Macaca fascicularis: one gene and its partner. The protein of the gene in region 1 interacts with the protein of each later gene in a pairwise test. Links are inferred from orthologs where the notes say so. Each region holds a gene or a part of one and is shown on either strand. Other genes may lie near its edges. The genes, in order: BRAP and NUMA1.

Region 1 (3,813 bases):
TAGCAATAAACAATACAACTCATGATACCAAGATAAAGGGCTCTAGCCCCGTGGGGAAGAACGTGCAGCAACCTGTTTCACAGTCACAGAAAAAGATCTGTCAACTTGAGCAACCTTCACTTGATCAAAAGACAGACGGGGAAGGACAGTGCAGAAATACAAGGAAAATCCATTCACAGTAAATATTCACAGTATTACCTGCACATTACGAAGGGCAGTACTTGTTATAGGGAACTGTGTGGGTTTATTAAACAGGTGAGTGTGGTGCATTTGTAAGACTTCAGACTATTTTAAAAGCCTAAATGTTCTTGAACATTTTTGTCTGGGTCTTTTCCTTTGTTATTTGCTTATTGCCCTAGTTGTTAAGTAGAAACTATAACAATACTGCTGTCATCGAATGTCTCACAACCAACTGCCTCCCTTCCCCACACCTTCATCCCACTTCCTACTAGAAGAGGAACGCGTCCCTGGAACTAAAAGTGAGGATGCCACTCTTGCTTGCCATTTATGTCTAGCTATGTAACCCTGGGCAAACCACTTATCTCCCTCTGCAGTCACCCCCCACATCTGTAAAACAAGGATAACAATACTGTTTCCGCAAGGGATTGTAGTGAGGATTAAATGAGACAAAGCGTATTGAACACTTAGCATAGTGAGTGATACAGAAGCCATCGATAAACGCTGGATATTATCATCGTTATCCTTATTATTACATGTGCTACCAGACTGAAATGGCTCAAGGCAGGATTTTCTCATGGTTTGCAAAGCTCCTTGGCAACCTTGGAAGGCTTTCTGACGGTCAGTGAAAGGAGCTATTCAAGTGCTTTTCTGTTCTTAATGTCAACTTGTAAACTTTAAATCTACGGGATAATTGAAACGTGTTTTAAATGTCTCCCTAAATGATAGGGTACTTTGTAAAGATAAAACATATTAACTGTGTACTCTCTTGTAGACAGAACTCCACACTAAAGCTTCTCTCTGGGGCTCACAGAACAGGTACACTCTTCCACTTCATTAAAAAGACAATGAGGCCAGGCACGGTGGCTCACGCTTATAATCCAAGCACTTTCAGAGGCCGAGGCGGGCAGATCACCTGAGGTCTGGAGTTCGAGACCAGTCTGACCAACATGGAGAAACCCCGTCTCTACTAAAAATACAAAATTAGCCGGGCGTGGTGGTGCATGCCTGTAATCCCAGCTACTTCGGAGGCTGAGGCAGAAGAATGGCTTGAACCTGGGAGGCAGAGGTTGCTGTGAGCCAAGATCGCACCATTGCACTCCAGCCTGGGCAACAAGAGCTAAACTCTGTCTCAAAAAAAAAAAAAAAAAAAAAAAAGAAAATGAAAGAAGTGGGGTTAATGGAAAATAATAAGATGGTGTTAACTTCAAAAAGTTTGGGAACTACTGCTTTTCTGGAATAGTTACCACTTGTTTAAAAAAACAAGCAGGCCGGGCATGACGGCTCATGCCCGTAATCCCAGCACTTTGGGAGGCTGAGGCGGGTGGATCACGAGGTCAGGAGTTCGAGACCAGCCTGGCGAACATAGTGAAACTCCGTCTGCATTAAAAATACAAAAATTGGCCAGGTGCGGTGGCTCAAGCCTGTAATCCCAGCACTTTGGGAGGTCGAGACGGGCGGATCATGAGGTCAGGAGATCGAGACCATCCTGGCTAACACAGTGAAACCCCATCTCTACTAAAAAATACCAAAAAAACTAGCCGGGTGAGGTGGCGGGTGCCTGTAGTCCCAGCTACTTGGGAGGCTGAGGCAGGAGAACAGCGAAAACCCAGGAGGCAGAGCTTGCAGTGAGCCAAGATCCGGCCACTGCACTCCAGCCTGGGCGATAGAGCGAGACTCTGTCTCAAAAAAAAAAAAAAAAAAAAAATACAAAAATTGGCCAGGCATGGTGGTGCATGCCTGTAGTCCCAGCTACTCAGGAGGCTGAGGCAGGAGAATGGCGGGAACCCGGGAGGCGGAGGTTGCAGTGAGCCAATACCACACCACTGCACTCCAGCCTGGGTGACAGAGTGAGACGGAGTCTCACGCCCAGGCTGGAGTGCAGTGGCGCGATCTCGGCTCACTGCAAGCTCCGCCTCCCGGGTTCCCGCCATTCTCCTGCCTCAGCCTCCTGAGTAGCTGGGACTACAGGCGCCCGCCACCGCGCCCGGCTAATTTTTTGTATTTTTTTTTTTTAGTAGAGACGGGGTTTCACTGTGGTCTCGATCTCCTGACCTTGTGATCCGCCCGCCTCGGCCTCCCAAATGGGGCGACAAACTTCATTATTCAAATCTTATTACGTTGTCTCACTCTTGTCACCCAGGCTGGAGTACAGTGGTGTGATGTCAGCTTTCTGCAACCTCTGTCTCCTGGCAAAACCTTAGATTTCATACCGAATCTGATCTATAAAAAATCATGGGCATAAGGCCAGATGCAGTGGCTCAGAGCAACTGTAATCCCAGAACGTTGGGAGGTCAAGGCAGGAGGACTGCTTGAGGCCAAGAGTAGCCTGGAAAACATAGCAAGATCTCATCTCTACTGGAAAAAAATAAAAAAAATAAATAAAAATACCATGGGTATACGTTATAATTGTATTTCTGCTAATGAATTTAGAAATACATCTAGAATTAGAATTATATCTTAGAAGACATATCAAGAATCTTAAGTGCAAAATGCCGTAAATCACAACAGCTACTATCATACAGTTTCAATAACACAGTTTCTGTGGCAAAGAGATTTTTAATAACTTTAATAACTTTTACCTGTGCACTAAACTTTATCAGCACCATATATTGGTTGGGAGTAGAGTCTCTGATGATTTTCATTTGTTCAATTACTTCATTAAATGGGGCGACAAACTTCATAAGGTCATGACTGGTCATTGCAGCAGGGACTGTGAGAATACACAGCATGGCACTGCGCCGCACATCTTCTTTTAAGGAGGTCATCTTACTAACAAAACAATAATTAGAGGGTCGTAAATAGATGAGGTATGGTTAAACAACAGCAGACAACTTTTATGTCCAAGAAAACAGGAAAAAATAAAATTTTAATATTTCATTAATGAATTGTTCTACATTATACCCCCCCACTGGACTTTTTAATCTTCACTTCAATGTTTATTATGGTTAGAAATCTGCATTAGGCAAATTTGCAGTGTTTTACTCTTATCTATGTTTGAATAATAATCTGTCACTGGTGGCTAGGCGCAGTGGCTCATGCTTGTAATCTCAGCACTTTGGGAGGCTGAGGCAGGCAGATCATGCGGTCAAGAGATCGAGACCATTTGGCTAACATGGTGAAACCCCATCTCTACTAAAAACACACAAAAAATTAGCCAGGCCTGGTGGCGGGTGCCTGTAGTCCCAGCTACTTGGGAGGCTGAGGCAGAAGAATGGCATGAACATGGGAGGTGGAGCTTGCAGTGAGCCAGATCGCGCCACTGCACTCCAGCGTGGGCGATAGAGCAAGACTCCGTCTCAAAAAAAAAAAAAAATGTCTGTCACTGATTAACTTAAAAGCACAACTCTGGCTATGGACCTCTCTTAAAGGGCCTAAAAAAAGAGCTCTAAATATAAGAGAGTTCTCTATCTCTCTTTTTTTTTTTTTCAGATGGAGTCTTGCTCTTGCTGCCCAGGCTGGAGAGAAATGGCACGGTCTCGGCTCACTGCAACCTCTGCCTCCTGGGTTCAAGCAATTCTCCTGCCTCAGCCTCCCAAGTAGCTGGGATTACAGATGTGTGCCACCACGCCCAGCAAGAGAGAATTCTAAACTATGAGGATGTAACTGAGTATTACAGGAAATGTTACCAAGTTG
Region 2 (3,813 bases), on another chromosome or scaffold:
CAGAGCGGGTCTTACGACCTGAGTCCAGGAAGACATCTCCCAGGGAGTCCAGGCTGCTCTCCAGGGGGGCCTGACTCCGAGCAGGGATGGGAGTGAAGTAGAGACTCTCCAGGGATTCTACCTTGGGGGGCAGGCGCTGGGAGATAGGTGAGGCTGGTTCTCCAGGGACGCTGGTGCCGTCTGGCTGGGTACGAGGCAGCTTGCTATGGAAAGGAAACCTGCTGAGGTACAGTCTTTTGGGCTAGAAGGCATTTTGTCCAGCCCTTTTCCAAAGTGACCATTTTCCATACTATAAGCAGATGAGGTCAAGCAACCCATGTCTCTGAATTTTCAGAGGTACCAAGGAAAGCCCTTGACCTGGGCCTTCCCTTCAGTCCACTCCCCTGGCTTCTCCTAATACCTCCTCATAGTGGCAATGCCCAGACCCAGATGTCCCATCCTCACCAGATGCCCACGGCTGCTCCACAGCAAACACGTCCCAATCTAAGCCCACTTCTCTGTTCTTCCTCCTTCATCTCCCATTTCAGTGAATACGAGCACCTGCCACTCAGGCCCCCAAACCATGAACATGGGCATAATTCTATGTTGTCCTGCTTGGGAAGCCCAATCACCAAGCTTCCTCAACAGCTCTCCTAACCATACCCTCTCCATGCTTATGTCCTTTTCCTGGTTTGTCTCATCTCCTCTCACCTAGACTCATCATGGCACTCACAGAGGCAGATGAGTGGTGACAAGCAAGGACTCAGGCCAGGCTGCACAGGGTCAAACCCCAGCTCTACCACTGGGGGACCTTGGGCAAATGACTACCCCTCTATGCCCCAGATTCATCTGTTAAAGGAGACAGAATAAACCTACCTCAGAGGGTTGTTGGGGGATAAATCAGGTATAATTGTTATGAGTGCTTTATGTCTAGCACAAAATAAGTACAATGTAAGTGTTTAATAAAAACAATATGTATTTCCAGTCTTAACTTCTATATTGGCTATTAGAATCATCTTTTTAAGATGGAAATTAACCATGTACTCTTCAGTTTCAAATTCTTCCAAGGTTCCTTTTTTTTTTTTCCCTTAAACCTTTCAATTATAGCCACCAAGGTTTCCTCAATGCCTTTAGGATCAAGTCTTAATAGCCGGTCTCCAACGGGGAGTCCAGATGGCCCTCTAGGATCTTGGGCCTTCCTGGCCTTGCATCTCAGCCTAGTCAGGCTCTTTCACAGCCTCTGTTCACACTGCTCTTCTCTGTCAACCTGGCACACACACCTATGGATGCTTTCAAGACTCAGCAGGAGCGATAGCTTCCATGAAGCCTTTCTTGACCGCTTGCTTTTTATTCCAACTGTGCCCTAAACAGACATCTGGTATAATACCTGTTTTTCTTTATTCTTCTCTAAGAATAAATTTGGATCACATCTTATTTATCTCACCAGGATACAGCCTGATAAACAGCGGGTACTCCATAAACAACAGACATAGGGAGGAAGAGTGCCTCCTGACCTAGTGATACTGAGTGGGGTCCCCTCCTCGCAGCTCAGATCCAGGCTGTCAATACTCAAGTCCAGCTGGGGCTTAGCCTGGGGCTCACGGCTCTTTAAAGCATCAGTTGCCACCTGGAATTTGCCCAGGTCTCGAAGCTGCTGGTCTGCGTGGGCAACCTGAGAAGGAGAGGGCCAGGGGGAGAGTGAAGAAAAACCTAAGGCATCAGTGGCCTAGGAGGAGAGGGCACAGGGGTCCAGTGGGATAGGGGTGAGGTGAGTCTGCCAGCCAAATTCTTACCTGTGCCTCCAGGCTGCGCACCTGGGCAGTAAGGTGGCGGCATGTCTGTTCAGCCTCCTTGGTCTTCAGCCCAGCCTGCTGTAGCTCATGGCCCAGCCGTTCGGCTTCAGCTCGCAGCTCTTTGTTTTCCTTCTGCAGGTGCTCCAGGCTCTGCAGCTGCTCCTGCAGCTCTTGGTTCTGCTGCTTCTTGGCATCATAATGAGTTTTGGCTTTCTCCATCTGTGGGCAGAGAGGATGGGTGGGTGGGGCAGAGGCTGGAGGGCAGGAAGAAGGTAGCATGGGCTGGGGCTGGGCTCCTTACCTGCAGCTTATAGTGCTCAGCTGCCTGCTCCTTCTGGCTCAACTGGGCTTGCAGTTCATTCAGCCGGGCCTGGAGGCGCTGGGCCTCCTGCTGGCTCTCACCGCCCTGAGCCTGGACAGCCTGAGAAGAAAGTCCACTCAGGAAAGCTGGTCTGGCCCCTCTACCCAAGTCCACTCATCTGCATCAGCCACTGGGGCTCAAGAGGTGCTTCAGACTCCTGCACTTAGGAAGAGGAAGAAAACCACACCACCCCAGATACACTCCACCCGACTACAGCCTACTGAACCTGAAGTCCACATGCCCTTCAGTCCACATCCATAGTGGCCTTTCCCTGACCAGCTCCTGCCCTATCTTTGCCTTCTTTGAGATAGGACACAAACTGTCTCACCCTCTTTGCATGCACACACAATCTCCCCTAGGAGGAAGGGAACCGATCCTCGAGGAACACCCAGGTGCGGAGCCTGGAGTGAGGCACTTGGCATGTGAGCTCTCTGAGGACAGGGGAACTTGTTTCTCCTCAAAGCCACTCTGAGAAGTCACTTCATCCCCTTTTCAGAGGAGGAAACTGAGTTCAAAGATTTAAGCAAATTGACCATAGCAACAATGACTAAATGGCAGAGTAAGACTTGGTCCACTAAACTCCAAAAGCCCGTGGGGGCTTATTTATGATGCCCACACTGCCTCCTGTCCAGACTATAACTCCTTAAGAACAGGGCCTGATTCTCTGTCCATCTGCAAGGCCAGCAAGTACTCTGCGGTAGATACTGTACAGAAACATCCCACCTTTGCCTCTCCTAACACAGGACAGGCCCCACAAGGAGCAGAATAAACATTTGTTTATTGCAATCAAGACATGCTGTGGCACCATGGTATGAAATGAAGCTCTGAGCTCCCACCAACTCCTAGGACCCACCAGGGCTTTAGTGAGTCCCAATACCACTGATGTCCAATTCCTTTGCCCCTGACTAAAGGCTGTGCAGCCTAGAACTGCAGAAAGCAAGTATTAAACCAAAGAAGGTGACACAGTTGGAATCATTAAGAATGTTATTAAACTGCATTGTAATATTCAACACTGGTGACACTCGTTCTTTCCCTGCCCAGACTATCTGGACTTACATGGTTCAACAGAACTTTATGCAACGGTGGAAAGTTCTGTATCTGTGCTGTCCAATGCAGCAGCCACTAACCACATGTAGCTACTGAGCAGGGACACAATGTAGCTAGTGTGATTGAAGAACTGGATTTACTTTAATAAATTTCAATAACCACACATGACTAGTAGCTGCTGTAGTGGAGACAGTTGAGAGATGGGAACCACCCTGGTTGTCTCTTGAGAGCTCCCAGAAGACACACGCAGGGGCTTCTAAGCCACAGGCTTCCTAGGAGGGCTGCCTGGAACACAGGGTGCCCCTCCTCTGCCCCCACACCCCCACGGCCCGAGAGCTTAGAGAACAGCTTTCCTCCCCTGTCCAGAGGCCAGACCCGTTCCCCCAGCTGCCCCACCTTCAGCTTCTGCTGCTGCACTTTGCTGGCTTGGTCAGAGTCAGCCAGTTTCTTCCTCAGTTCTTCCACCTGGGGAGGGAAGAGGAGGACAGAAGACTCAGGAGGACTTCCCCTGGATGTTCATCCCAGATGTCTACCCATCATGGGGTGGCCCAGACCAGGATCCCCAGTATTCCTAGAATAAACTCAGGCCCTTTCTCTGGCCTCCAATTAGGGAACAGCCTGCTGCCCAGGCTG

What was found.
Region 2: the proteins of BRAP (region 1) and NUMA1 interact in a two-hybrid assay, tested with the Homo sapiens proteins (2 studies listed by BioGRID and IntAct). The link is inferred for Macaca fascicularis from reciprocal best matches to the Homo sapiens genes BRAP and NUMA1.

Annotation. Positions count from the first base shown.
Region 1 is NC_088385.1:118,568,861-118,572,673, forward strand, and holds part of BRAP (BRCA1-associated protein), read right to left. Parts: intron 2,950-3,813; coding exon 2,760-2,949; intron 1-2,759. UniProt on the Homo sapiens protein: Negatively regulates MAP kinase activation by limiting the formation of Raf/MEK complexes probably by inactivation of the KSR1 scaffold protein.
Region 2 is NC_088388.1:70,766,504-70,770,316, forward strand, and holds part of NUMA1 (nuclear mitotic apparatus protein 1), read right to left. Parts: intron 3,646-3,813; coding exon 3,577-3,645; intron 2,194-3,576; coding exon 2,074-2,193; intron 1,992-2,073; coding exon 1,773-1,991; intron 1,652-1,772; coding exon 1,494-1,651; intron 204-1,493; coding exon 1-203. UniProt on the Homo sapiens protein: Microtubule (MT)-binding protein that plays a role in the formation and maintenance of the spindle poles and the alignement and the segregation of chromosomes during mitotic cell division.